3 linked regions of the Rhinolophus ferrumequinum genome follow. The protein of the gene in region 1 interacts with the protein of each later gene in a pairwise test. Links are inferred from orthologs where the notes say so. Each region holds a gene or a part of one and is shown in the gene's direction. Other genes may lie near its edges.

Evidence for each region.
Region 2: the proteins of ENTREP1 (region 1) and BAG3 interact in a two-hybrid assay, tested with the Homo sapiens proteins (2 studies listed by BioGRID and IntAct). The link is inferred for Rhinolophus ferrumequinum from reciprocal best matches to the Homo sapiens genes ENTREP1 and BAG3.
Region 3: the proteins of ENTREP1 (region 1) and STAM2 interact in a two-hybrid assay, tested with the Homo sapiens proteins (2 studies listed by BioGRID and IntAct). The two-hybrid records come from large-scale screens. The link is inferred for Rhinolophus ferrumequinum from reciprocal best matches to the Homo sapiens genes ENTREP1 and STAM2.

What each region holds. Positions count from the first base shown.
Region 1 is NC_046295.1:36,159,451-36,169,737, forward strand, and holds the start of ENTREP1 (endosomal transmembrane epsin interactor 1), read left to right. Parts: upstream 1-6,516; 5' UTR 6,517-6,602; coding exon 6,603-7,427; intron 7,428-10,287. UniProt on the Homo sapiens protein: Functions as an activator of the E3 ubiquitin protein ligase ITCH in the ubiquitination of the CXCL12-activated CXCR4 receptor. Thereby, triggers CXCR4 endocytosis and desensitization, negatively regulating the CXCL12/CXCR4 signaling pathway.
Region 2 is NC_046299.1:9,805,173-9,815,437, reverse strand, and holds the start of BAG3 (BAG family molecular chaperone regulator 3), read left to right. Parts: upstream 1-5,751; 5' UTR 5,752-6,094; coding exon 6,095-6,280; intron 6,281-10,265. Other genes in the region: E3 ubiquitin-protein ligase TRIP12-like, read left to right, coding at 3,265-4,767. UniProt on the Homo sapiens protein: Co-chaperone and adapter protein that connects different classes of molecular chaperones including heat shock proteins 70 (HSP70s), e.g. HSPA1A/HSP70 or HSPA8/HSC70, and small heat shock proteins (sHSPs), e.g. HSPB8.
Region 3 is NC_046291.1:68,373,516-68,383,949, forward strand, and holds the start of STAM2 (signal transducing adapter molecule 2), read left to right. Parts: upstream 1-5,855; 5' UTR 5,856-5,970; coding exon 5,971-6,010; intron 6,011-10,434.

The sequences.
Region 1 (10,287 bases):
ATCATAATATTTTATGGAGAGCAACTTTATTTGTCTGCTATCCATATGGACTGTTGAAAGGCAAATAGGGATTATGAGTGCTAGAGGCACAAAGATTAATAATTTGCTTTCTGTTTCTTTCTCTTCCTTTCTGGCCCAGTTAAGCCACGGATACCCAGTAGAGATGCTGTGAGTATTAGAAATAATGTACACAAAGCCTAATAACAAAACCTGAGCATCAAAACCACTACTACCTACTTTAGCCGGAGGCTCAGAGAAAGCAAGGCGTTGCCTCCCTTCCTACATCCTAAACTCCACTTTCCTCAGTTCTCATTTCCTGTCCTGGCAATGACCTGGAACTGTCACAGGATGGCTGGCAGCAGTTGTCACCTCTCCTTTCAGGGTAGACTGCACCTCTCTCTCCTTAGGTGGCTTTGTAATCTTCAGTGGGTCAATGGCGATGACATTTTAAATCCATGAATTTGTACATTCCCCAAGGTTAGAGTTAGTCTTACAAAAATGCAATTATGAGGACATCAATAGCTCAGTTTACAGGGGCAGGGCTCAGCGCAAAGCAGGTTCCTCTCATTGTCTCTCTTCCAGCTTCAAGAGCAGGAATGCCCATCCTTGGACTATCTTTGGGGGCCTACGGTCCTTTCTTCTAAGAATAGTCACTGGAAAGAAGAACACATAGAAACATACACACACACACACACACACACACACACACACGCAGAAAGGTTTATTGGTCTCTGAGACATAGCTTTTGAGGACATCTCCAACCTCTGGGGAGCTTTTATTAAATATATCTGCATGTGCCTCACCCCTCTGCAGACCTCATAAGTCAGTATCTCTGCAACTAGGGCCTTAGAAATTGTACATATTTTTGAAAGTTCTCCTGCTGAGTCTGACCAGTACCCTAGACCAAGTGTACCTTAGTGGAGGAGGATATGCAGCTCCTCTCAGACCAGGCAAAGACAGCCTCTTTTATCCTACAGCTTTTTCTTAGACATCTTTGTTTCCCAAGGGTCTAGGCTTCACATTGGCCCCACTACAAGGCTGCTCAAGGGATTGCCCCAGAACAAAGGAATGGTCTCTGCTCATAGGTGAATTATAGCTTTGACTTCTACAGAAACTCGATCCTGCAGAAAGGTCTGCTATTAGGAGGTTTCTTTCTCACACACACAAACACACTCACACACTCTCACACACTTATAAGACATCCTTTACTACCGCATTTCCTCGAAAATAAAACCTAACCGGAAAATAAGCCCTAGCATGATTTTTCAGGAGGCCATCCCCTGAACATAAGTCCTAATGCGTCTTTTGGAGCAAAAATGAATTTAAGGCCCAGTCTTATTTTCAGGGATACACGGTATATATGTGCTTAGCTTATCTCCCCTAGAAATGTACAAGCCATAAATACTTTTTAGGGCAGCTGACTTGTTTTTGCGGGATTTGTGTTATAAGACATTTTCAGTATTTAATTTCAACAATGAAAAAAGTATGGGTGCAGCTCTTCTGTTTAACAAGTAAGTCTGTTTGGGGGCCAACGGCATTAAAAATCCTTAATAACCAGTCTGCACTATTATTTCAGAAATAATGGAATGCCTAATTTGGCCAGCTCTGCTCAGGATTGCTTTCTTCCATTCTCTCTCTTAATTAAAAAAAAAAGTGCCACAGTCCTTTTGACGCCAGATTTGGGTTGAATCCCCCCTCAGAGTGGGGACTCAAACTCTGGACTAAGAAGGTTCTTGGTTTCACATAGAAAGAATTCCAACATGAGCCGATATAAAGTTTAAAGTGAAAATAAATGTATTTAGCTGAGAGTAAGTAAGAAAAAGAGGAAAGACCACCCCACAGACAGAGTGATGGTCTCTAATCACGAATGGAAGAGAGACTCCTCCATCTCCCAGGCTAGGGATTATATGTGTTTTCTGTTTCCATGGAAAATTTATTGGTATGGGGGGAAAGGAGGAAAAAAGAACAAGAGTAAGTTTATCTGCAACTTCTGTAAGATGCAAGAAAAATAGGGGCAGGCTTACCTTTAACCTTTGTAAGCCACAACCTGTATTTTATTTGCAGTGGGCTTACCTATAGGAACGGATTCTTTGCTTAATAAAGCCTTTGGATGGTTTGTTCTGTACGATTGATAAACGTCTGCCTGAGTGGTGTGTCTTGGAGCATGTAATCAGCTGGTTTGGAATACAACCTCCTGGCTTCTTCTGTAAAAATAGTGCTCAGGCCCCTTTCCTATATTACTTTCTCTGCAAAGTGAAATGTTTTCATTGAAGTTCCCACTTCATCATCACCGCAACACAATCTTCATACAACATTGTCCCTCATGGAAACCCATGAAGCCACGGAACCTGAGGCCTAAGTTTTCAGTTTTTGGGGTCTGTAAGTAATGATTCCACACCCCAATTCACCTGCTGTTCTTGGTTCCTGCTCTCTTGCTGGTCATCTGAGAAACCATGGCAATGAGAATGGCTGAACTTCAAAACTGCAGGTCTTGGGGAGTCCAAAGGATGGCATGGTCCAGCCTCAGGCAGATGAAGCATCACAAACTTGCATTTGACAGATGCAGCAAGTGAGGCCAGAGATGCTTGGAACCGGCTCAAGATCCTGAGGAGAGGAGGGGCAACAGCCCAGGATGTCTGGCTCCTAATATGTGGTGCCCTTTCCATTAGAAGCCAGTGATCTAAATCCTTCCTGTACATAAAAATCACCTGGGCAGCAGTGCCTGGTTGAGGACCAGCAAAATCCCTACTCCCAGCATATTTACATCTAACTTTGTTTTCAATCAAATCCTCTGCCTTCCCCTTCCAGCGAATTTGCTCCCTCTAGTCCCCTGCCACATAAAAATTCCCGTATGAAAATTCTGGAGTATGAGTAGTTTCATCCACGAATGGTTTGGGGCATTTGTTAAAATGCAGGTTCCCAGGCCTCCATCTAGAGTGTCAGATCCTGCAGGTGTGGGGGAAACCCGTGCAGCTGCATTTTGACCTGCTCTCTGAGTGGTTCTGTGCTCCGTGGACCATACTTTGAGAAGCCGTTCCAGAGCTACCATATGAATTGAGGATGTCTAAAGTCCACTGTGCCTTACTCAGAGAAACTCTTCTCTTTCTTAAATTGAAGCACTGGAGGCAGGTTGCCAGGGAACGTGTTTTAAGGAGTTTCAGCAGCAGCTCCCACTCTACCAGGGAATAACCTCCTGTAATTAGCTGCCAGGTTGGGTCTTCTGAGAAAGGGTGGGAGGCACTGAGGAGTTTAATGGTGACTAGTGAAACCTTAGCGAAAGAGCCTAAACTCCTAAGAAGTAAAGGCTTTGATTGCAGACAGTAAAAAATGAGGTACAGAGAAGGGAAGAGTTGGTGGAAATTTCTCCTTGGATTTCGGCTTTGATCTTGAGGAAAGCTAGCAGCTTGCTTCCATGGAACAATAACTACAGTTTCCTTGAACTTTCACCTATATTAATGAAATGTCTGGGAAAAAAGAACATTTTTCCATATGTTCTTCATTACTTTTTAAAAACTTTTTGGGTGAGGGCTTTATTCAGATATAAATCACATGAATCTTTATTGAGATACAATACACCCATTTAAAGTGTATAATTCAATGGTTTTTAGTATATTCACAGTTGTGCAATCATCACAATTGATTTTAGAACATTTTATCACCTCCAAAAGTAACCCCATATCCTTTAGCAATCACCTTCTCCCCATTTAATCTTCCCACCCTTCATCCATAAGCAACCGTTAACCTATTTTCTGTTTCTGTTGATTTGTCTATTCTGGAGATTTCATATAAATGGAATCATATACCATGTTTCCCCGAAAATAAGACCTAATCGGAAAATAAGCCCTAGCGTGATTTTTCAGGAGGACATCCCCTGAACATAAGCTTTAATGAGTTTTTTGGAGCCAAACTTAATATAAGACTCGGTCTTATTTTGGGGGAAACACGGTAATATGTGGTATTTTGTGACTGGCTTCTTTCACTTAGCATAATATTTTCTTTATTAAAGTAAATTTATTGGGGTGACATTGGCTAATAACATTATATAAATTTCAAGTGTACAATTCTATAATACATCATCAGTATATTGCATTGTGTGTTCAACACCCAATGTATTTGGGTATCCTTCCGACAACATGTATTTGACCCCCTTTACCCTTTTCAACCTCCTCCTACCCTCCTTCCCCTCTGGTAACCACAATACTGTTGTCTGTGTCTAGGAGTTTGTTTTGTTTATTTGTTGTTTCCATTTTATATCTCATATATGAGTGAAATCATATGGTTCTTGTCCTTTTCCGTCTGACTTATTTTGTTTAGCATTAGCACATTTTCAAGGTTTGTTCATGTTTTAGCATGTATCAATATTTCATTCCTTTTTATTGCCAAAAATATTCCATTGTATGGATTACCACATTTGTTTATCCATTCATCCACCCTTGGATTGCTCCTACATTTTGGCTATTGTGAGTAATGCTGTTTGTGTATCAGTTTTTGTGTGGACATATGTTTTCATTTCTCTTGGTTATATATATATCTAGGAGTGAAATTACTAGGTCCAATGATAACTCTGTGTTTAACTTTTTGAGGACTTGCAAAACAGTTTTCTAAACTCCTCATTTTATTTTTTTTAACCAATATGAAATCAATGGCTCTGACTCACCCTATGGGTGCTTAGTTACATACAGTTCAGCTTAATCAGGTGTAACGAAGGATTTATTGTACGTAAGCAAGTGTTTGGAGGATATGAAGAATTAAGCTTGGGTTACAAAATCCAAAAATCCAAAGCTCAAATACTCAAGAATGTTATTTGGTATAACCTTAAAGGTTGGGGCAATGTTACATGGATTTGTATTTATGATAAGCAGAAAATGAAACCCACAGCTATGAATGAGGCCAATAATAAAAAAAGAAAAGAAAACTACAGTGCAACAACTCTTAATTAGCAGCTTTGGAAAAGGTTTAGTGGCCTGAAAAATATAAGTAAAGCTATTGGATAAAACTATCAATAGATTTTAATTACCTCTGCTATCAGCTGTTTCTATGTAGGGAAACAGACAAAAAATTTAAGGGTAAAGAACTGAGATATACTTTAAAGTATTTAAGCATAAAATACAAAGGCATGCACAATGTGTAACTCTATGAATTTTCTCAAAATGAACCTCACCTGTTTAAGTAGTACCCACAGCAACAAACAACAGATGGTTATCAGCTCCCCTGGAACTCCTACTTTCTAGTCATTAACCATCCAAAGGGAAGGAGGCTATCTGATTTCGAACACCAACATTCCTAGACACAAAGACGACATTTTTAATAGTAAATTTCAAGTGTTAAGGATTGACCAGTGGAATAGATTCGTTAAGCTGATAGGATTTCTCAAGACTCAGACTTTTTATATTGCACGGTGTAGTAGAATCTTAAACATTAAATACCTGTGAGCTTGTGTATAAAATAAAAGGTATAATAAACTCAGCGTATAAGCAGCTTTTAATTTACCGTTACATGCAATTTAAGAACATGTACTGTAAGGTGTTTTTAAATTGCATTTACTTTAAAAGACAGATCTCCTTTTCTCCAGAATTTGAAGTTTGTTTCCAAGGAGGATTTGAAGTTTGTAAAAGAAGGATTACTAATCACTGGTGCTTTAATAATCCAGAAAGTGTACATGTAAACCAACACGCACGTTGGCAATGCATCCCATTGTGGGTTGAAGTGTGAGTAATGACCAAAATAAACACAGCCTTTGTAAGCAGGGCATAGAACTAGATAGACATCTCCCTTGGTTTATTGGGCAGGAGGATGTTACATACCCTCACCTTCTGAGAAAACGAGCTAACACTGAAACTGACTTACTGGAAAACGACACTTCTCTGGTTCTTAACCTGGAAAAAAAATCTACTATCATTGTTTTACCTATAAGAACACTTCTAACACATTAAGAATTCTTCCGAGGGAAGTGTATACTATTAGAGGAAATCATTTTGCAAAGGTGAATCATCCTCTTTTTTCTTTTTTAGTAGCTCTAAATATGTCTTATAAGTAACCAAAAATAGGTTGGGATTTTATTAGGATATTTCTTTGGAAAATTAGGATTCTATGTTGTACCAGGTGATGCCGAAAATAGCTCATGAGTCAAGGTGATGTGGACACAGAGTGTAACCTTAGCCACGCGAATGGGGCCGCCCCCAGTTCTTCCTTTCTGGATTCTGGATACTTCCAAGGTAATGTCTTGTTCACACTCACCCCTACCGTGGTTCGGGAAAGCACCTCCGCCACTCCCCTCCCATTTCCAGGAGGCAGGGCCGCAGCGCAATGTCAGCCCAGGCGCAGGTGATTCCGCTCTGCTTGGTCCTTCCCCGAAGCCCTGCGGCTTAGACTTTTCCCACCGAGTCACCCAAAGCCCCTCCTCCTGCCATCCCACCTCCCGGCGGCCGGGGTGGGGGTGAGGGAGTTTAAAGCCGACCTCCCTTCGCATTATAGGTTACCAGAGTCCCTCTCTGTGCTGGACCAGAAGGGGGCGAGGGACCACCGCGCTTCTCCTGCGCTGCTGTCCATCCCCAGCTCGGCGGGTGGGGGACAGACTCTTAGGTTGTCAGCCGCTAGCTCCAATGTGCGCTGACCGCGGCGTCCCTCCTAGCTCGAGGGACCTATTTAAAAAATTGGGGCTGGGCACCCTTCCTGGACGCCAGGAAGCGGACGCGGGTTCGGCTGTGACCCAAAGGCTGCAGCAGCCCCGCGGCGCGAGCGCAGGGCGCGCGTGGGTGTGTGTGGGTGAGAGTGAGGGTGCGCTCGGGGCAGGCCGGAGGCGGACCCGCCCGGTGGCAGGTGGGTGCGGCCGGCGGGAGCCGGGGCGGCGGTGGCGGCGGCGGCGGCAACAGCAGCAAGTGGTTGGGCCGTGCGCATTTCCTTCCCTCCCCCTTGGCCTCGGAGCCCGCCCGCGGTGCCCAGTGCGTGGCGCCCGCGACTCCGCTCCGCGTCCCCTCCCTGCTGCCACCGGCCGCTCCCTTCCCCGCCCGTCCATGTCCCTGCCCGTGGTGCTCCCGGGCTCCTGCTGCCCGGTGGCCGGGCTCTCGGGCGGGCCCCAGGCCGGGGGCCCGGGCGCCGCGGCCGCTGCTGCCCAGGAGCCGCCGCTGCCCCCGCTGCGGCCCCGCTGGCCCCGGGCCGCGCTGCCGCCCCCAGTGCGGCCTCGGTGCTCCGCCACGGCCGCCGCGGTACTAGCGGCGCCGCCCGGGCTCTCCTCCCGCCGGGCCGCCGCCGCCGCCGCCGCCGCCGCGGCCCCAGGCTCTGCGCTGCTGCCGGCTCGCCCGCTGTTGTCGCTCGGGCTGCTGCAGCTGATCCTGGGTTGCTGCATGGTGGCACTCAGCTTCGGGGCGCTGTCGCTGAGCAGCTCCCCGCAGGTGAAGAACTCGTGCCCGTTCTGGGCTGGCTCCTCGGTGAGTGCCTCGCGCGTACAGCTCGCTTCGGCGGGGCCCACCCAGGGAGCCGGGGGCTCTGGCCGGTCCCCTCCACTGTGCCATGATTGGGCTTGCAAGGCTGCAGGTGGGGGAGCACAGTTGAAGTTTTTGGGAAAAAAAGGCTTAAAGAGAGTGAAATTCAGGGGTGAATTGGGTTGCACCTGGCAGTGTCTGTTCCCCACAGGCTAAACGATTTTGTTGTCTTTGTCAAGCTAATAGAATATAGCAGGTCCCTAGCACTTTCGAAGATTGGAAGAATGGGGCTGGGTGTCAGAAAAGTGGGAGGAAAATGATTGAACTTTTAGCCACTGAGTATTAATACTTCCCTGGCAATGTCCGCGAGGGGAGGGCAGGGATTTTGATGTTTAGTTCACTGATGTATGGACAGTGCCTGGCACATAACAGGTGTATTTGTAGGAGGGGTGAAGTGACAGTTTGACAGAGGCACATCACTTGTTTTCTTCCAGCTTACAACACATTGTAAATGTGAAATGTATCTGGTGTAGGATGGCTCCACTCTATTTAGGGCTGAGTTCAGGAGGTAATGACAGGGTGTGTGTAAACTCCTGGTTGTACCTGGTGAATGGAACCGGGCCGTAAGCCCCCACTTGGTTCCTGGAGCTACACAGGCTGCTGAACAGAATTTAATTCTTCAGAACCTGAACCATCATTATGCAAGATCTCTCCAAAGCCAAAGGAGCTGGGACAGCTAGCTGGAGATGTCTGCCCCACTCAGGGACCTGGCCCTGCCTCTTCCAACAGGAAAAGCTGATATGCAGCAAAGGTGCCTGGCCTCCAAGAAAGGCTGCATGCGGCCCCCAGCACCTCTAGCCACTGGGTGGCTACTCATCCCCAGCTTCATAACAATTTCACAGCTTCTAAGGCATCCATCCTCTTGAGGTTTGTCTCTAGTGGAGAGACTTGGAAACAGGTGTTTTGGGGAAGATCGTGGAAGATGAGTAGTTTAAAGTAAATGACCTTTTTATGGACTAACAAAATCTAAACGTGCCTATAGTTTTGATGAAGAGCTGTAATGAATATATATTCTGAATGCATAAAAACTGTCCTTTTGTAGGTCCACACACACCCAGATTCAAGACCAAATTTTAAGAATATAGGGAGAATTAATTGAACCCAAAGTAATTGTTTGAAAAGAACATCAAGTACCTCAAGTGTGGCCTGACATTTTATCCTTAAAGTGATGGCAATTAGCTCTCTTTGGAAATGCTTTGATGCTAGATGATCTTACTGTGGTACAACTTATGCTTTGGTATCTGGAGTCCACAGTCTGTGAATCATGTAAAAGAAGTCCCACGCTCTTGGCCCTACCCTTGGGGTCTCCTGTTGACCTCCCTGAGTGTTCTTTAAAACTCCAGGAGGAGGGGTCTTCTTGACTGGGTGGGGATTAGATCCATTATGCTCCCTAGTCCATTTGTCAGACTAAATTCAGCCAAATGGTTGGTGCATTTTATTCCTCTAAATATTATGGGTCGGAAGTGAATCTCGCATACGTTTTTATGAATTTGCTCTTTGTAAAATCATAATCTCTTGTCTTCTCAAAGGTAGCTATTTAGGATTACTGAAAACTATTTTTTCCCTTCTAAAATTAAAACCCCAAATCAGTGTACTATTGTGATTTATTTCAGAGGTACGTTGACTCAGATGTCAATCAAGCCAGAGTTGGAGTTGATGAAGTATTAAACCAAAAAAAAAAGGCCATCAGCTAGAAGAAGAAGTTGGCTGTTCATCCCCTCCCTTGCCCTTTCCCCCCCCAACCTGCTGGCTGGGTGTGTCCTTGTCTCCAGGACCCAGCAAGCCAGAGCAGGGAAAGAATCAATTATTTGGAACTAAGTTTTCTTCTATAGATACATTTTTCACAGCCTGCCCCCCAGCTCTATATGCAAACTTACAGCTGTTCGTTATTCTTATTTTTCGTGGCTTGTTTCTGAGGTTGACCTTGGAATTTGCAAAGTGACAACAGAACCAGCAGACACTGCGTCTCCAGAACAACTAAATAGGATTTGAGGATGGCATTAGGCATCATGACGACGTTCTAGGTATTTTAGGAAAAAAGTCTCACCAGTATAAATACCTGCATTTATGGATGTGAGAGAGATGTTGGTTATTTTTTTTAACTCTGCATTATGGAAGAATTTAAATTTATTATAACATTGCACAATGAACCCTCATGTATCCTCACCCAGCTCCAACTGTTGTTTCATCTGGACCTCTTCCTGGCTCTGCTGCTGGCTGTGTGTGTTCTGATAACTCTAGGACGATGGGTATTCCAGGCAGGGGAGGAATTATTAGGTTAGTGCAAAAGTAATTACGGTTTTTGCAAATATTTTTAACCTTTTAAACCGCAGTTACTTTTGCACCAACCTAATAGTTCCATCATGCTCCCTAAGCCATTTGTCAGATTAAATTCCCATATCATTTTGAAGCAAATCTCAGACATCACGTCATTTCGTGTGTTAATGTTTTAATATGTGTATATTTTTAAAAAGAGAGTATAAACAATAGAGAGACAGCATGGAAGTGACCAGGAAGTCTTAAGAATCCCTCTCCACTTTTAATCTTTTATTATGAAATTTTAAAATCACAACAAATGTAAAAAGAATAGTATAATGAACCTCCATTTTTCTGTCACCCAGCTTTAGTAGCTGCCAACACATGGCCACTTTATACCCACATCTACCCCTCCTTCTTAACACCCACTGGATTATTTTAAGGTAAAGCCTGGATATCATAATTTCAGCCATTAAATATTTTTGTATGTATTTCTAAAAGAAAGGTGGCTTAATAGTTAAAAGAAAGGGACTTACTAGCACATTACAAC
Region 2 (10,265 bases), on another chromosome or scaffold:
CTGCAAATGGAGAATCATAATAATATCTACCCGTAAGGCTGCTTGCTCAGGGGATTGTTCCAGATTGGGGTCCTTGGGAAGGAGATTGTGAGACAGAAGTAAGCAAGCAGGACTCTTAACAGCAACACCAGTAAAAGGGAGAGCAGGAAGCAGCAAACGGTGTGTGTCTGTGTGTGGTGGGGGAGCTGAGCTGCCATGCAGTCCCAAAGAAAGCAGCAGCCAACCCCAGAGGGCGCTCTGGAGCTGGAAGAGCAAGGGAGTCCTGTCCTGAGTTGGACCCAAAGCGCAGGGCCCTTATGCCCCTTGGTAGGTCAGTCACTGAATGCAGGTTCCCCTAAAACTAGGAGGTGTGACCTCGGCCAAAACAGTTTTTCTCAGCTAAGCCAATCCCCAAAGGACAGCTGAGATTGGTCTTCCTGCAGTGTTGCCAGCATCTGGGAGGATAAATCCTTCAATCCTGAAAGGGGATCACAGCCTCCACCACAAAGATTAAATGAGATAATCCAAATAAAGCCCACAAGGCAGTACCTAGCATGCAGTAAATGCTTAATAAGTGGTAGCCATTATGATTGTTGTTGTTTTTATAACTGTTAGTTACCAGGCACTGTGACAGAGGCTAGGGACACAGTGGCATCAAGATTCTTCTCCTGTCCTCAAGAAACTCAATATATAAGCAAATGAGACCACCAAACAAGCCATTGCAATGCCGTGCCCTTGATAGGGTGGCCCAGGGTTTGTACGGGAGCATCTAGAAGGGATATATGACCTAGAGTAGGAAGGTGAAGGAGAGTGATGTGAAAAGTGATCCTTGGAGATGAACAGGAGTCAGCCAGGCAATGGGAGGCATTGGGGGTGGGGGAGATGGTGGAGGAAGCAGTGTGTGAAGACGAGAGAAAGCACAATGTGAGCATAATATAGTTCAGCAGGGCCAGCGTGGAGTATGCACCAGGGAAAGGGAAGGGCCTCGTGTATACCAGGCTGAGGAGTGTGGATTTGGAAATAGAGACAGCAGTGGGGAGCCATTAAAGCATTCTAACCAGAGAAAGGACGTGGCCCACTTGTGCTTGAAAACGTCACCCAGCTGCCATGTCGGCAATGGATTGGCTATGGACAAGATTAGGAGCTGTTGCCAGGGTCCAGATGAGAGATCAGGGTGATTTGGACCAGGCTGGTGGCACTGAAGAAAGAGAAGAGTGCACAGAGTCGAAGAATATTGAAGAAGCAGAATTTACAGGCTTGGAGAAGACTGGATGATAAGACAGAAAGGGGAATCCAAGGTCATGTTTAAGCTTCTGATGTAGGAAAACGAACTCCAAAAGGCCTGGTGTATTAGTCCAATTGGGTTGCTGTAATAGAATGCCATAGACTGAGTGGCTTATAAACATGAGAAATGTATTTCTCACGGTTCTGGGGGCTGGAAAGTCCAAGACCAAGGAATCAGCGAATTTGGTGTCTTCTGGGGGCCCTGTATCCCAGTTCACAGATGGCTGTTTTCTTGCTGTGTCCTCACGTGGTGGAATGGGCTAGTGAGCTTTCTGGGGTCTTTTTAAAATAAGAGCACTACTCCCATTCTTGAGGGCTCTGCCCTCAAGACCTAATTACCTCCCAAAGGCCCCAGCTCCAAATAGCATCACTTTGGGGAACAGCTTTCAACACATGAATTTTTTTGGGGGAAGGGCACAAACATTCATTCTATAGCACCTGGGAAACAAGTGTCCTAAGACTTAGAGAGAAAAAAACCCACCAAGGACAGATATACTCCTCGTTATTCAGCATGCTTCAAAGGAGCTTCTTCCAGGCAGCTCTCCATGGCTTATGGCTACATTTTAGACAAACATGTGGAGCCCTAAGGAAGCATGACTCTCAGAAGGAGCTATGCTAATCCAAGAGGAACCTGCTTCCTCCCTGCTTTTATCTGGGGGGGGGGGGGAATCCAGCAAAGAATGCTCTCAGTATTTACACTGTAGTTGTAGTGGAAAGCAAATTAAGCAAAGGAAGAAGATAGAAATAAAAATTCACTTTGGATTCAATCTTCAATAAACATCAAGACGAAGGGTGCCAAAATAATGTATACACATTTTAAGAAAGGAAAAAACTATTAAAATTGTAATACTCAATATATACCAATAACAAAAGATGAATACAAGTTACATTTGACTTCTGCAATTACAAGAGATACTCAAAGTGGTTACCATCAGTGTCCAGACACCTCTGATTAGGGCGAGCTACGCTTGAGCAACGTTGACCAAAGTGCCCACTTGTATACAGCAATCTTTTGGCACCCCCAGTGTTTACTGAATATGGACTCTGGGCCCAGCCTTGTGCTCAGGGCCTTAGATATAAGGAAGAATAAGACACATTGACCAACTTGAACGTGAGGGTCTACCTCCTTCTATAGTCATATTTCTTGTGATAAATTAATGCACTGGTGTTTGGGTTTATATAGCAGCCTCGTGTGTGTTTGGTGACCCTGAGTCAGTCTCTAGGGTTTAATCTCCTCTATGTTTTCCCAAAACTGAGCTTTTGGACTTCAGAGCTGATGAGTAGACCTACATAAGTGGGAATCATTAAATTGGAAATGATCTGAAGGCATCTCTAGCATTTGCTCCAAAAGGAGTAATGTGAGGGCAGAAAGAGACAAGAGGTGTTGTCTCTGAGGGTTCCAGGGTATTCTCAGAATTTGAGTTAAAAAGTTGGGCCCAATAGTCCAAGGCAACTTCTCAAAACGTTTTTGCGGATGAGGCGTCTGCATACCGAAAGATCTAAAATGGAACCTTCCAAACATTCTCCCTTTGGGGGCACATTCTCTCTCCCTTAGAGGAACTGGGGTGCTTGGTTGAGGTTACAAGTGCACCCACCATTGAATCAACTAAACAAACATTTTTCCTGATTTTGATTTGGTCCTTACTTTCCAAATAAAGGTCAAGATTTAATATAGCAAGAACCAACCTCTACCATTAAGAAAGACCAAAACCAAGGTACAAACCGGTGAGAGAGGATGAAGAAAGTAATAAAGATTGTGTTGGTGGTAAAAGAGGAAGAGCCCAAACAGCTCCAACAAAAACTTCTCCTAGAAATGCAAAAAAGCATGATGAGTTATGGCACGATGGAGTGTGCCCATCAGTATCAAATCCTTTAGAAGTTTACCTCATACCCACACCACCTGAAAATATAACTTTTGAAGACCCGTCGTTAGATGTGATTCTTCTTTTAAGAGTTTTACATGCCATCAGTCGATACTGGTATTACTTGTATGATAATGCAATGTGCAAGGAGGTTATTCCAACTAGTGAATTTATTAACAGTAAGTTGACAGCAAAAGCAAATAGGCAGCTTCAAGACCCTTTAGTGATCATGACAGGAAACATCCCGACGTGGCTTACTGAACTAGGAAAAACCTGCCCATTTTTCTTCCCTTTTGATACCCGGCAAATGCTTTTTTATGTAACTGCATTTGATCGGGACCGAGCAATGCAAAGATTACTTGATACCAACCCAGAAATCAACCAGTCTGATTCTCAAGATAGCAGAGTTGCACCTAGATTGGATAGAAAAAAACGAACTGTGAACAGAGAGGAGCTGCTAAAACAAGCTGAGTCTGTGATGCAGGATCTGGGCAGCTCACGGGCCATGTTAGAAATCCAGTATGAAAATGAGGTTGGTACAGGTCTTGGGCCTACACTGGAGTTTTATGCACTTGTATCTCAGGAACTGCAGAGAGCTGACTTGGGTCTCTGGAGAGGTGAAGAAGTAACTCTTAGCAATCCAAAAGGAAACCAAGAAGGGACCAAGTATATTCAAAACCTCCAGGGCCTGTTCGCGCTTCCTTTTGGTAGGACAGCTAAGCCAGCTCATATCGCAAAGGTTAAGATGAAGTTTCGCTTCTTAGGAAAATTAATGGCCAAGGCTATCATGGATTTCCGATTGGTGGACCTTCCCCTTGGCTTACCTTTTTATAAATGGATGCTACGGCAAGAAACGTCACTGACATCGCACGATTTGTTTGACATTGACCCAGTTGTAGCCAGATCAGTGTATCACCTAGAAGACATTGTCAGACAGAAGAAAAGACTTGAACAAGATAAATCCCAGACCAAAGAGAGTCTACGATATGCATTAGAAACCCTGACTATGAATGGCTGTTCAGTTGAAGATCTAGGATTGGATTTTACTCTGCCAGGGTTTCCCAACATCGAACTGAAGAAAGGAGGAAAGGATATACCAGTCACAATCCACAATCTCGAGGAGTATTTGAGACTGGTTATATTCTGGGCACTAAATGAAGGCGTTTCCAGGCAATTTGATTCATTCAGAGATGGATTTGAATCCGTCTTCCCACTCAGTCATCTTCAGTACTTCTACCCAGAAGAACTGGACCAGCTCTTGTGTGGCAGTAAGGCAGACACTTGGGATGCAAAGACACTGATGGAATGCTGCAGGCCAGATCACGGTTACACTCACGACAGTCGGGCTGTGAAGTTTTTGTTTGAGATTCTCAGTAGTTTTGATAATGAGCAGCAGAGGTTATTTCTGCAGTTTGTGACAGGTAGCCCAAGATTGCCTGTTGGAGGCTTCCGGAGTTTGAATCCACCTTTGACAATTGTCCGGAAGACATTTGAGTCAACAGAAAACCCGGATGACTTTCTGCCCTCCGTAATGACTTGTGTGAACTATCTGAAGTTGCCGGACTATTCAAACATTGATATAATGCGGGAAAAACTGTTGATAGCAGCAAGAGAAGGGCAGCAGTCGTTCCATCTTTCCTGATCACACCAAGAAATGCAGTGTCTGCCTGTTACAGCAAAAGAAAAAAATCACGAGTTATTTTCTAAATGTATCACCTGAGGCAAGGAAACATGTTACACCTTGTAGGAAAAACGGCTTGCAGATTATAAAAGAGACACTTGGTTGATATTCATTAATGGCCCATGGACTTAAAGTGATCAGGCCCTAAAATGTTGTTGTGATGAGGTTTCTTTAGCAAGTTCTTGTTTAAATTATCATTTATTTGATGAGTGAAGTTTTTAACTTGCTTTGCTGTGTGAAATTTAAAAAAAAAGGGATGTTTTTCCAGGCTGAAACAATAAATGTCGCTGTGCAGTTTAAAAAAAAAAAAAAAAAAAAAAAAAAAAAAAAAAAAAAAGAAAGACCAAAACCCAAAAGAACGTGATTTTTCTTTACAGTTGTTTACTGCAATAATAGTTTCTATATTTAATAGAAGAGGTTCAGGAGCATAAAACCATGGGCTGATGCAACCTTTCATTCTTCTTTAAGTTTCAAAATGCAGGCAGGTGAATTTCCATTCGCACTTCCATTTTCTCCATGGCTTGGTTGTAGTCTCAGATCAACATTCCAGAGCTCTTAAGGCCATGAAGCAAGGTGATTAAAACGTAACTGAGTGACGCAGTGTCCCGAGTATCAGTATAAGGGGGAGTATAGGAGGTAGCGGGTGGGCGAAACTCTAGCTTAAAACCAGCGACTTCAAAGGCTAACGACGACTTTGTTTTTATACCAAGGAGCCGCAGCAGGCACTCCGCGCCCGGACTGCCAGTCCCGGAAATACCCACGCAGCTCCAAGAAGAGGGAGCGAGTCTGAAAACCGAAACCGGCCGCAGGCGGATCCCGCAGGGGAACCACTGCCCACCTCAGGGCAGCTGGGCGAGGGAGGAGCTGGAGGGAGTGGAGGAGGGGCGGCCGGGCCGAGGCCCCGCCCCCGCCCCGCCCCGCCCGCCACGATTATAGCGGATGACTCAGGGCGGAGCTCCGCTTCCAACCCGCGCCGCCGCCAACTTCTCTGGATGGGACCAGAAGTTTCTAGCCGGCCAGTTGCTACCTCCCTTTATCTCCTCCTTCCCCTTTGGCAGCGAGGAGGCTATTTCCAGACACTTCCACCCCTCTCAGGCCACGTCACCCCCTCCTTTAATTCATAAAGGTGCCCGGCGCCGGCTTCCCGGACACGTCGGCGGCGCGCACAGTTCGAGCTCCGGCCGCGGCCCGCCAGCGACTCGGCGCCTGGAGGCCTCGCACCCCGTGACCCAGCACCCCGCGACCCGGCACCCCGGCGGCCTCCCCTCCGGGCCCACCGCGACCCAGCATGAGCGCTGCTACCCACTCGCCCATAGTGCAGATGGCGTCCGGCAACGGCGCCGGCGACCGAGATCCCCTGCCCCCCGGCTGGGAAATCAAGGTCGACCCGCAGACAGGCTGGCCCTTCTTCGTGGACCACAACAGCCGCACCACGACGTGGAACGACCCGCGCGTGCCCCCCGAGGGCCCCAAGGTGAGCCAGACCCCTTAGCTCGACGAATGGAAGAGCAGGGCCGGGCGGAGGCGGCTGACCTGGGCCGGGCTGCAGGGACGCGAGGCGCCGAGTGCCCGCTGGCCGCAGCCTGCCAGCGCCCCAGCTCCCGAGGTCGGTGAAGGCCACCTGGGGCGCACGGACCTCTGGGCCGCACCAGCTCCCCGGTCTTCGGTCCCGCCCTTGACAGGCGTGGGGGTGAGGGGGAGGTTTCGGAGGGGCTGTGCTCCTTCGGCCGCATGGGGTTTCTGGGGGTCGGCCCGGGAAGTGCGACCCGAGCGGTGGCGCCAGGTCCCGTTCACCGGCTCGATTCGAGGGGACCTGGGGCTGAGGGCGCGGTGGCTGGAGCTGGCCCGGGATCCACGAGGGGCGGCCGTTCTGGTCAGCTCCCCAGGCCGGGCCAGGCCCCAACGCCGCGGGGCTTCCGGGGCAGAGATGCTGGTTTCTCTCAGCGGATCTCACTTGGGCGGACGCCAGGGGCCACTCGCAAGCCTGGGTGGTGGGTGGTCTCTTAGGAATTTTACCTCTGGTTCCTCAACGTGGCTGAGGGGTATCTTGACTTGACTCGCCTACCTCAGGCACAGGATGACTCAGGAGACTGATGTAAATACTTTCCTATTTTTGTCCATTTTATATTTGGAATTTAAATTGTATTGTTTGAAACAGTTTTTTTATGAGAATCTATTCTAGTATGACTTGTTAAAAACAAGATGCTCTTCTCCCAGGCAATTTCTAAACTAAAGATGTTAGACTGTCTCATAGTTGGCCATCGCCTTAGGACGTTGCCTCACACTGGCGAGAAAGAGAAATTTTTTTAAATGGCATACATTCCCTTCCTTGTCATGGTATTAAAACGTCTAGGACTTGTTTTTAATAAACAAATAACTGGGCGATAATACTTTTGTGAGTATAGCAGAAGTATGCTTCATTTGCATGTATGTAAGGATTATATTTAACGCTTAGGAACGTGAAAATTTGAAAATAAAAATTTGAAACGAGTCTGTTAATATGTAAAAATGTAATTGTGTTATTCTTGCAATTATCTATAAGTTTGATCTTTTCCAAAATAAAAAGCATGGAAAAAAGAAATAGGTAAAGGGTAACTGTTAATGCCGTTTGGGCAAAATGAAAATAAAAGCTGTAAAGAGCTGGTAAGGTATTTTGAAGATGTAAAAATTCACAAAATCAAGAATGCTTTATAAGTCGTTATTTTTGAAGAAAGATTTATGTTATCCACCTTCATTTTTATGCACTTTTTTCTTTAAAATATTGATAAACCTCTGGTTCCCAACCAGACATTGTACATTCAGCAACTTAACATTTATAAGAAATTAATGGTATATTTATTTCTGAAAATTAGTACAAGAGGCTGTAATTAGTACAAGAGGCATAATTATATATACTTTTTGTGTGTTTGTTCAGCCCATTAGTGGGTGAAACTAATGCTCGTTTCAAACCAGCCCTGTTGCTCCAGTCTGTGTGAATATGATCTTTAGTGTGGCTAAAAAAACCCAATTATTTTGAGGCTTCCTTCCTATAAAGACAGGGACCGTCAGAATCTTCTGGCACCCTTTGTTGTGAGTGAAGGTCAAGTTTGAACGTATCCACTGGGAGTGCAGTATGAGATCCAGATTGCCAGCACTTTGTTTTCATCAGGAAACTGACCCAGCAAGTTGAGACCTTTGTGCACCCTTCTGGTGGATGGGTTAGGCTGTGGTTTCATAAAGCTTTTTAAGGGTAGAAAAAACCAGGTTGAGTTACTATTCTCAACAAATAGAAAATAAGAGCTACTAAAATCAGAATTCTGATGTTGGGAAAGTGGATTTGAAAATTCAAGTCAGAATTTTAAAGTTGAAAGGTCCTTAAAGATCTTTTAGCTCAGCCTCTTTTATTTTACTGAGAAAGAAACCCTGAGAATTCAAGTGTGTTTCCAAAGATCACTCAACTAATACTAATAGCAAAGAGATAAACACAGCAGTAAGTCCTAAGAAGAGGCAGTGTATCTATTCAGAAGAAGGTAGAAATGTCTTGAATTTTTATGAAACCGTGAAGTGTACAGGCTGAATACTTTGATTTTTTTTGTGTCCTCCCAATACCCCCAAGTATTAGATGGCTGATTTCTGTGCTATGATTACTTGGATGGTGATGGCTGGATGTGATCAACTCAAGAAAACAAGTTCTCTGTACCAAATTAATTATTTGAGATTTGTCAGCCTGGTATCAACACATAAGGAGAAAACTAACATTCACTTAATTAGCTCTTCGGTATTACAAGAGCTAAAGGGTTCATTGCTTTCAAACCTATGCTTTGATATACACAGAACATCTCGGTGACTAATTCAGTTTCTCTTATATGAATTACACCTTACTCCAGACTAAATACAATGGAAAATCCTTCAGTATTACTTTATATTAGAAATTGGTTTCGTAATGCGTAATGAGAAAAGGGCCCTGGCACAAAACAAAGGGCTGTTTGGAGGAGCTAAGAGGATCCTCCAAGCATCCTTACCTTCAAGAGGAGGTGCTGTCAATCAGTAAAGAACTGTTCATTGAGGGTGAATAGTAAAGAAAGCCCTCTTTGGGGAAGATAGCTCCTGGTATTTACAGAACAACCTTGCTGGTAAAGGAATGGCTTTCATGGAAAGAAGAAGAAAAGACCAGAACTTTGTGTTTTGTTTAGTCTTACACTCTGTCCTCTCACAGTTGATCCTCTCACATTCCCCTGAAGTGGTTAGAGTGACTCCCCACATTGTCACAGAGGGGGAAAGTGAAAGCAAGTGTCTTGCCCTTCAGTGCAGAGGCACAGGGACTGCTGGAAGCAGAGACACTGGGCTTTCTCCAGCTCCACTCCAAGCGAACCTCCCCACCTGCAGTCTTCCTGGGTATCGATTTTCTGCACACGTGGGCTTCCCATTAATCTCCTGGCAAGTTCATGCCAGTCCCTTCCCTGTCAGAAAGGTTGGCATTCGCTTTGGAGTCAGTAGATGCACACAGTGCCCGTGCAGCCACCCCTTGGGGCTCTCCTCACAGAATAAACAGACACCAGCTACTTGGGAGTGTGGCGCTGTGCTGCTCCCTCGCAAAGCCCTCTGGGACCTGAGGGAGACCCTCCTCCCTCTAGGAACCCGGGCTGTTCTAGGTCTCCAGATCTTGGAGGTCACCAGCACAGATTCCCAAGCGTGGCAGTCTCCAGGGAAGCCTTTTAAGAACACAGATTGCCAGCTGCGCCCCCCCCACCCCCATGTTGAATCCAAATCACTCAGGGTAGGGTGCAGAAATCTTTAAGTCAAAAAAGCTTCCTCGATGATTCTTGAATATACCAGACTGGCATTTGGGAGCCACTGAGTAACGGGGCTCCCATTTTCGGGGGAAGAGGGGTTGCATACTGGGACTTAGAATACAGTAGCCTGCATGTAGGCCCCGGAATCCCTCACGGCACCTGCTTAACATCCACCTGCCAGAGACGTTATCTGAGCCTCCTTTTTCCTTCTTGGTGAAACTCCCCGGTGCCTGGCTTCTGGGAGTGTGAATATGGGGGTGGCATGGGGAGGGATAGAGCCTGGCAGGGTGGTGGTCATACCAGGTGTGGGGCAGGGCCAGACTCGGGGAGGTCCCGAGGCCCTCCTGCACCCTGGAAGGAGCGAGCCAGCGCGTTCCCTTCTGTCTTGCCCTCTCAGCAGAAGCTCTTCATAATCATTTGACATATTATCCTCAGGCCCTGTGAATGAGAGGTAGAAACATCCTTTCAGAGGAAACTGGAAATGTTTTGAGTTATGATTGAAGTAGAGACACCCATTTATTCTGCTGCAGGTTCAGCAGAGCCTCCTGAGTTTTCTTGAAGATGAGGTCATTTTGCTCTTTGCAGATCCATTGCAAAGAGCTCCTGCCTCTTAGCAGAATCAGAGTAGTCAGGAAATGAAGGTCCACTCTCTCCTTTTATTTCCAGCAAGTGCAGTTACTGTGGAGC
Region 3 (10,434 bases), on another chromosome or scaffold:
CGGCAGCCTTCGGAGTTAGGAGCACGGAGCTCTAACCACCTGAGCCACCGGGCTGGCCCACTCACCTCTTCTTATAAAGGCACTAATCTCATTAATGAGAGCTCCATTCTCATGACCTAATTACCTCCCAATGGCCCGACCTCCAACTATTACCACATTGGGAGTTATATTTCAACATATGAATTTTGGGGGGACACAAATATTCAGTCCATAATGTAATGTTTACAATATTCTAATTAATGGACTAAATACTTGTGAGGGGCACAGAATTTAAAAACCACACAGATCCTTATTTGTACTCGTGGGGAGTTACAACAATCACAAAAGTTAGGTTAGAGGAATAATAAGTGCTAAGTCATGCAATGTTGACCACTTGTTCAGAAAAGTTTCGGAGAATTGGAAGGCATGTGGATTGGGACCAACTGAGGAAAGCTTCTGAAGAAGATGGGTGTTGAACTAGATCTTAAATTTCCAGATGTGAAAAATAAAAGAGGTAAAAGATGAAGGCAGGTGGAAGAAGAAAGCATGCATGTTTGGAAAGTGAAATATAAAGCACAATACAGACAAAAGACACTTCATTTTCTCCTCCAACTGATTTTCACAATGTTGTCTAGTGCTGCTCTGTCTAATATGCTCGCCACTAGTCACATGTGGTTATTTAAGTTTAAATTAATTAAGAAGAAATGAAATTTAAAATCCAGTTCTTCAGGTGCTCTAGCCACATTTCAGGTGGCTAGTGGCGATTTTATTGAACAGTGCAAATATAAAGCACATCCATCATTGCAAGAAGTTCTTTCGTAAGTGCTAGAATAAGCGCTACTGAGCATTTACTATATGAAAAGCTCTCGTGTCCCATTTAATCTTGATAGCAAACTTACTACGTATATACTTCCAGATCAGAAAACTGAGGTTCCTAGAACTTAAGTATTTTCCTAAAGTCACATAGTCAGTGGCAGGGCTGTAATTTGAAATTTCATCTGACGTCAAAAACTGATGCCTTAAGCCAAGAAAAATAAGGTTACTGGGTAGGGAGAATGAGTTATTTACCAGAGACAATGACATCCCAGACTGAACTTTCTGTGGCAGGCAAAATCCCGGTTCTTGAGTAAGGCAACAAAACCACAAAGGCGGTGTTTCAGGATCAGTAGCTTAGTTTTGAGTGTAGGGCTAGTCTAGCGTACGTGGTGTCTTCAGAAGTGAAAGGCTCTCTCTAGGAGAGATGCAGCCTTGTGGACTCACGACTCAGTTAACAGAGCATGTAGACCCAAGCTCCTTCTCACCCCCTACACTGAGTGCCTCTTTTCAGGGGGAAGAATTGGAAGGCATGGAAGAAACAATAATCTGGGATAACGGAGGTGATGCCAAGGGGAAGGGAGGAAGGGAGAACAACAAAAAGAGAGTTTGAAGAAAGACATGAAAAAAATTAGGTTTAAAAAAGTTGAAAAAACTAGGAGCAGAGTTAGAGCTTATTCCAAGGTTTCTAGTATGTTGGTCTAAAACATGTGGTACCTATGATAGAAAAGAGGAAAAGAGAGCCAACTTCTGGTTTCTGGTCCAGGATCTAAGGAGCTTAGCAATCATCACTCCTGCCCACACAACAAGAAATAAAATTAACAACTTTTTTTAGAGAACTAAGGTCTCAGAGAACTGAGGTCACAGGGCAAACAGCTGCCACAAAACTGGAAAGACAGACAAGCAGACATAGAGAATCACAATTTACTGAAGGAGAAACCCTCATAGGAACCAGCTCCGGGGTAAGAAAACGTAAACTGTAATTCACAAATTGCTGAAGCTCAGTGGACAAGTCTGAGGGTTAAAAAACTTCAGGGGGTCCCAGTAATAGAGAAACCCCACATTTTTGTGAGTTTTACTCCCAGGAGCCCTACCAAGTTCCCACAGTGAAGATCAGAGAAAATCCCCTTGTGCTTCTGGCAGGGGGAAGGGAAAAGTGTCCATTCTGAAATGAGCCCAGACCATTCTGTTTTTAATGAGGCCTGACCTCGAGAGAAACAATTCTACCAGAGCCTAACTCACTAGGGTTTTGCCAGAGCCTAGTGGACGTTTCACATGTGTTGTCACAACTCATTTCTGGAGGAATCAAACATGTCCTGTATGACTCCACTGAGAGAGGACTCGTGGAAGCTTGTGCCTCCACTTCCCCTACATGCCATTTCCCTTGGCTGAGTTTGTTTTGTTGCCTTTCATTGTAATAAATCATAGTACGAGGAGACTGGATGCTGAGTTCAATGAGTCCTACTGAATCACTGAATCTGGGAGTGGTCTTGAGGACCCCGATACACCTCGATTGGTTCCTGAAAGAAAAAAAGAGGACATTAATGTAAACACTGTTAAAATCTAAATAAAGTCTTGAGTTTAGTTAATAACAATAAACTGATGTATGTTTCTTAGTTTTGACAAATGTACTGAGGAAATGTAAGCTGTTAACCATGGGAGAACCAGGGTGAGGGGTAATTTAGAGCTCTCTGTACTATCTGTGTAACTTTTTTATAAATCTAAAGTTATCTCAAAATAAAGAATTTATTTGGAAGAAAACCACTCAAACCAAATGCTTTGGAAATTCATGAAAAATAACATACTACTCATCTTAAAGAGAGAGAGAAATTATCCAAACTGAAAGACAAAGTGGAAAATAAGAGAGAACAAACTTTATTGACTGTATCCAGAGAGACAGATTGTGGTTTAAAAAAAAAAATCAGACTCAGGACTTGATTGTGAGAGTAGCAGAATTTAAAGGAGGGTTGAATAAGGAAGACATAACACATAGCATGTCTCCTACACTAAACTCAGGGGTCTGAAAAGGAAAGAATGGGACCCTGAGACCTAGGATGGGAATATCTGGGTGGATCCTCTTGAGAAGTTTGAGGATTTGCTTCAATCCTCTGGACCAACAGAAGTGGTGCCCTTGTCCTTGCTAGAGGACTGTGGCCTCCCTTTGCCTGAATATCATGCAGAAGTCTCACCTGTGGAAGATGCTTCCCAAAATGCAACTTTCTCTTCTCAAGATTTGCCAAAACCATCTGCAGTGTTTGAAGACCAGTATCTAGGGTCAAGTTTCATCATGGCCTGACTGGGGAAGCACTGCCCCTATTTTGGAATAAAAACGGTTTTTCCCCAAATAGGTACTGGCAGAATTAGAAGCACATACCTGGGGATGGATCTTGGTATATGTTTGGGGAAAGTAATCTAAGGTAAGGATTTGTTGAGTGTAAACCCAAAATAACCAAGAAAACCCTAAAGAGACTAAATTTAACTAAATTTGAGAAGATTATTTTGTTTTCAGGGAGACGGGCTCAAAAGAGATTGTATGACAGAAAAATTAAAAAGTTGCATTTCATTGCACACTAGAATTTGTGGGTTGCCACTGACGTATCTTTTAATTTTTCAACAACTTCATTAGGTTAAGCGATGAGCAATTTTTTATATTCTTGTTTCTAACACACGGTCCAGCTCTTAGTGACTACTAAAAATTTTGTTAATGTGAGGAACTCACCGAGTGACTGAGTACACACACAGAAAGGGAAATACTGATGGATTCTTGAGTACACTTGCCATTAAAAATGAAAGGAATTAAAGGAGTCTCTTTCCTTTCCAAAGGCTAATCCTCAGCCTTTTGCTCTTATCTCAACACAAGCTCCTCTACAATATTTCCTCTTACGGCTTTATCAAGTGCAATAGCCTCCTAAACTGTTCTGCCTGAATCAGATTAATATCTGGAAACTCTTTTTAGAAACCTATTCTGCTGCTCTAAATCTTTAAATGATTATCTAGTGCCTTATATGGTAAATTTTTTTAAAAAATTAGCTTGCTCTTAGGGCTCTTCCCAATCTGTTTCCTCTTATCTCTATCTTGCTTTGTTTTCCATTCCAACACTAAGCCGTAATCCTAGACAAATCCATCCAGAATGTCTCCAAAAATATATATATGTTCTTCCAGGACCCATCAGCTCCAAGTCAAGTAGTTGTTTCAATCTAGTTGTGGAGGGCGTAGCTCACAGTGGCCCATGTGGGGATCGAACCCGCAACCGGCCACCCCCTCCAAACATATTTTGAACATCCTAAATTTAGTGTTTTTTTGCAAACCAGCTCCTTTCACCTGCAAAAGTTTCTTTCTTATTTGTGCACCTATTTTTATCACATAAAATGCAACTACCTTCCTGAACTATTCCATGTGTAAGGACTCTCTCTTCTATGTATCGCATCTTTGTAACAAAGGTTGTCAAATGGTTTTGTTTGACTTATTGTTAAAATGTTGAAGTAATTCCCAACATTTAAAAATCATTTTCAAATTGAAAGCTCTAGTAGGGTCCACAGGTCAATAAATGGCTCAAGTTTACTGGTGGCTGTCATTTTCAGACACACACGCTTAAGTTAGATAGTCATGGCTGCCTTTGAAAAGTATTTATCAAGCACGTATTACTTGTCGGATAGTGTTTTAGATGTCCGGGATACAGCAATGAACAAAACTGATCATGGAGTTTATATTCAAAAGAGAGAAAACATAGTGAGTAAATTATAGATTTGGAAGTGATAAATGCTATGGAAAAATAAAGCAGGGTTAAGAGGGATAGGGAGTGGGTGTGAAGGGCCCTTGCACTTTTAGATTCAGATACCTGGCGGGAATCCTATGGGAATTTGAGTTGGGACTCCAATATACAGTAGCCCACCCTTATCTGCAGTTTCGCTTTCCCTGATTTCAATTATCCGTGGTCAACCATGGGCCAAAAATATTAAGTGGAAAATTCCAGAAATAAACAATTCGTAAGTTTTAAAATGTGAGCCATTCTGAGTATGGCGATGAAATCTCAAGCCACCCTACTCCAACCAAGCTGTGTGCAGCCACCGCTCCCCATTAGGCACTTAGCGGCCCTCTCGGTTTTTAGACCAACTTGTGCTATCACAGGGCTTGTGTTCAGTAACAGCTATTTAACTTAATGGCTCCAAAGGCATTCACCTAACTTTAGTATATTGTTATAGTTCAACTTTATTATTACTGTGAATCTTACTATGCCTAACGTATAAATTAAATTTTTTTATAGGGATGTATAGTTAAAAACATAGGTACTATCCATGGTTTCAGGTATCCATTCAGGTCTTGGACTGCATCCCCCTTGGATAAAGGGAAGGCAGGAAGGGAGCCTCATTGCTTGTTGGACTCCCAGGGTCCAGCAGTGTTTTCAGGGCGAGAACACGATGGAAAGCAGAAAGTTAGGAGTCCCCACAGAGCCCAGGTAACTTTGACCACCGATTTCCAGAGTGGTTATTCCAGTGGGGTTTAGGCACCAAGGAGAGGGCAAACTATAAGCTCCTGAGAGAAGAGCCAACTCTGCCCACTCTCCAAGCCACCTCTGGGCCAAGGCTCGATCCGTTTCCAGGGCAACAGAACTGTGACGCGAACGGAGTCGCGAATCCATGGCCGCCTCCAGGGATCGGCCTGCAGCTTAGGAACCAACTAAATGACCAAGAACGTGGCCGTCTCAACCAGCAGTCGCACGCCGAAAATCTCAGGATACCGGGGTCCCTTCGGCGCCACCGCCCCCACTGTTAGAGGGTTTCTGGCGTCGCCCAGTACTGGGCGCGACAACTTCCGCCCCGAAGGTCCCCCTCCGCTCCGTGGCTTGCCGGGGTCCTAGCGATGGAAAGGTGGCCGCGGCAGACGCCTGACCTATATGAAATCCTGGGACACGGGCAGCCGCCTTCTCCCGGCGGGAGGCAGCGATAGGGGTGCTGAGAGGATAAGCGCACCTGGTGGGACCTCGCGCCTGGACGGGGAAGGGGGGGCGGCGCGCGGACCCGGAGCTGGCCCGTCAGGCGGGAGTCGGGCAAGCGCGGCGGCGGAAGTGCGAGGACGCGGGCGGAGCCGATCGGTCTAGGAAGCCGCGGCCGCGGGGTCACCGAGCCGGGAGCAGCTGCCCAGCCGGACCTCAGCGACTAAGGCTCGGGCGTCGACAAGATGCCTCTGTTCACCGCCAACCCCTTCGAGCAAGACGTGGGTAAGTGCTGGTTCCGGGGCCCGGGCTGCTGTTTGTCCTGCTAAAAAGTGGGCGGCGGCAACGCGGCACTGGGAAGCCGAAGGGAGAGAAGGGGGACGGCGCCGCTGCCCCTCCTCGGGGAGGGTAACTTAGACTTGTCGCTAGCGGTCTGGAGAGTGCTTCCTACCCACCTGAGGTTGGGGACCCCGAAACGGAGCCATTCCCCTCGCCAAGCGCAGGAATAGGGAAGAAGAACCTGGTGCTTGCTGGAGAGTAATTAAGCAATTGCGGAGTCGATGATAGAAACTTCCTGCTCCATGTAGAACTGGTTAAGCACTCCCTTCCCCTCCCCTTTAGGAGATGACGGAGCAGTGAAGACCCTGCTGTCTAGGGCAGCCCAACGCTAGAGACCTTGACTCGCCCCCATTCAGTAGGAAAAACCTGTTTCACCTCGTGTATATACAAATGCATCCAAGCCCCGATAGCACAGCTTCAGGATTTATGTACAACGCTTGGAAGTGTTATCGGCGGATGGCCCAAGTGCTTACGCGATGTTTTGTCCTAGGGTGTGAAAAGGAAAACTCCAGGGTCTCAAAACAGTCCAGAACAACCAGTATTTTGTTTGTTGGGGTTGTAAGAGCACTGATGTTTCAGTGACTATGGAGTGAGAAAAAGATGGGCAGGGTAAGAGAACGCATTTTGGGCATGAGAATAACAGTAAAAACAAACTGGCTAAGTAAACATTTTTGTAGCAGCAGTTACCGGAACCTTAGGTAGAGTTTTGAGACTTTGTGGAATGAAAAAACGCATGGCTGAAAATTGCCAAAGTCACACAGAATGCTGAACTTCACAGCAGTGAGCCATCTGGTTTTGTACTTACGTTTCTAATTATGAAAAGACTCTAGAAAGTGCCCTGTTTTATGTGATCCCAAAAGTGTGTTCAAAAGTCAAATGTACTATGTTATAAGCCCCTTCCATTCCCAGGGAGCTACAAAATTTTATAAGTATATCTTGATCCGAGGTAGGCTTCAAATATGTATTTCCATAATTTTATTCGACTTGTTTTCTTGGTGGTTTGTTTAAACAGGTGACAGGCATGGATCTAGGAAGCCTGGCGTTGAGGCTCACAGCTTCAGCTTTTGGAGCACCTAATGATGTCTTCCTCTGTTGTAGGGAGACCTGTACTTTTTATTGTTGATGTGAAGACTTTTTGTCCTAGTGAAAGAAAACGGAAGGGGCAAAATAGAATAAGACAAGTGATTTTCAAATTTAGAAACTGTGGAACTCTCTTCAAGGGAAATTTTTCCCAGAAGGCCATTGTTTTCTGGTTGAAAACTTATCAAAGTAGGCCAAATTGCTGTGCCTGTTTTGCTTTTCTAAACCACCTGAGATCCTTGCCTGGTTTAGTGGATCACAATTTAGTACCATTGTAGTAAAAGAGGCACTATTGTTCTGACAAAAAATACTTCTGTGTGTCCATTACTTCAAGGGCAATGCCTTTAACCAAAGCTTCAAGAACTTATTGGTTTACTCTGCTATGACTGATGTCAGAATCCAAAAGTCAGTTTCAGGGTAAAAGAGCAAATTTGATGGAGGCCCGTCTGTAACTTCTTTTAGACAAGTGAATGGAATTAATAGAAAAAGTAGAAAGAAATACTAAGGAGTTCAAATTGGCCCTAAACCTTTATCATAGAAGAAAAATTATGTATTACATTTTTCAGACCTTAAATCTCCTTTTAATTTGAAATAGTTAAGTAATACAAGCAAGTCATTATTTAACTTGAGATGTCTACAGGAACGTTCCTTTGCCATGTCATTTTCTTTTCCCCTACTCTTTGATTCAGTCAGATTTTTATCATTGTTTCTTTTTTATCATTGTTCACCTTTCATTCAACAGACACACATTGAATGTGTCTCAGACATTGTGTTAAGTTCTGGGGACACAAACATTTAACAAATGGACTGAATTCCTGCTTTCAAGGAGGACGCATACACACATAAAAAGATAATTGTAATATAGTGTGATAAATATTGTAGTAGAAATACACAAGATGCTTTCCATGTTCCCTTTATTTAAAACAGTCATTTTTTTTCCTCAAGAGAAGACAGACCTTCAGGCAGACACTTTCTCTGTAAAGATGTTGACACTGTCCACTCCCACCCCCAACCCCCTTTTCTAACAGCACTTCTCCCTGCAGGAAGTAACCTTATCTCTTACTATATGTATGATATGATCATTTTATAATTAAGAGCCTTTAAAGATGAAACCGTGCCTTTGGTGGGTGCAGAGTCTCACCAGAGGGCAAGCAGTATTTCTGACATCATTCATATGGGAAAGAAACCCTTTTCTCAGACTCGGAGAAAAAGCTCTAGTGGGTAAAGATGTCTGGGAAGGGCACCCATAAGTTGACGAATGTATATGACTTGTCCGATGGAAGCAGGCCGAAGGCTGGGAGATAAGCAAGAGTGGCAAGTTCCTATTTTGTTCAAAGCTGAAACCTACAAACCCCGATTGATATGCTAGTATGGTAGCATTAGAGCTCTTTAAATATTTACTGAAGTTCTTAAAATCTGGATTTATTTTTTGTTTTGTTCAATAAAATTCTTTTGAAGCTGTGATGAAAAAAAAAAAAAAAAAGAAAACACACACCTACCCGGCCACTCACCCTGAGCCCCGCATTGTAAAGGATGCAGTATAGGATTCCTGATTTGGAGCCTAGTTCGTACAGCCTTCTTAGGTGATTCCATGGGGAAAGTGAAACATGGGGGACACAGCCACAGTAGGAAGATTTAGTGGTTAGTGTTAAAAGGAATATCATTGCCTTATATGCTGTACCAATTTTTCCAGTCTCACTACATTGGTTCCTGACTTTATGACTTGTCTGTTCTGCTCCCTAACTCCAGTTCATATTTGCATGTCTTTTTTCTCTTTATTCAGTGTCGGCAGGTTCTTGCAAGGTTCTGCCTCAGCCATTTACTGTTCATTGATAGACTTTTGCTTTATTCAGCACCCTTGGTATCTCCTTCCTTAAAGATAAACTTGTGCCTCAAAGCTGAGCTCAAATTCTACCACTACAAAATCTCTGACACAATGGATTGAAGTGTGAACTTTTATCTTAAAAGGAGGCTTTTCCAAGTGAAATTAGGCTTGTATGGGTGTGTCTTTGGTTTGTGTTGTGTTCAGAGAACTCGACAATGAGGTAGCTTGGGGCTTTTATAAGAAACCCTAATATAAAAATAGATATTGACAGCACTTCAATAATACACATCACTTTATATGTTCAAATTTGTAATATTTACATATTTATTAAGTCAATTCTTGAACGCAATGAGGTTCTTATAATCTTTGTAAAAAAAATAAAGTTAGAAATACGTTTGGTTATGGATGAGAAGGATAGCCTTAAAAGCCATTTTTTTCTATACTTTGCTTACATGGTACCAAAAATCCTAATACCTATAGATAGTTACAAATTTTAATTAATGTATCTTGTGACTTGTTAAACTATGAAATACTTTTATCATAAAGTACGGTATATAACAAACTCCTATTCCTCTCAGCCAACTCTGTCAAGTTCTAAATTTTGCCATTTTATTTTTTTAAGAAACATTTAAGATACAATTGAAATTATCTGGTATATTTAGTAGCTATCTGATCCTATGTTTTTTCCTCCCTTCTCAAAGTTAAACACTCTCCAAAAAGGTATGACCCTTGAACAACGTGGGGGTTAGGGGTACCAACCCACCACTCAGTCAAAAATCTTCATATAACCGCCAAAACTTAACTACTAGTAGCCTGCTGTTGACTGGAAGCTTTACTGATAACATAAACAGTCGATTAACACCTTTTGTATGTTATATGTATTACATACTGTGTTCTGAACAGTAAAGTAAGCTAGAGAGAAGGAAATGTTATTTAAAAAATCGTAAGGAAGAGAAAATACACTTACAGTACTATATTGTTTGTTGATACTGTAAATTTATGTCATCTGTTTTAGGCTGTGTCGTTCGTCTGAGTTTTTTCAAATTGTTGATGGAAATAAATCCGCATCTAAATGGACCCAAAGCAGTTCAAACCCATGTTGCTCAAGGGTCAGCTATGTATACTATACATACCAGTAGGGTTTCCGGGCAGGAATTCCTTCCCACCCCGTTCTCTGGAATTTCTTTCCGCTTTCCCGTTCCCGAACCCCGAGAAGAGTTGCTTGGGAAATCGGGAAAATCGGCTTCTTGAACCCAGTAATACCCACAATGGGAAATAAACGTACTAGTCACAATGTATCTCTTAGACATGTTTCCTGTTTATTGCTATCTAAAGTTACATTGGGTTACAATATTACATGCCACCAGACATGCTCCCTCAACAAGAGAATCAGATATCACATGACCCCCTAATTTTAGCGCTTGTAAATCGAGCACATTTGATCATGGAGAACAGACAACAGTTT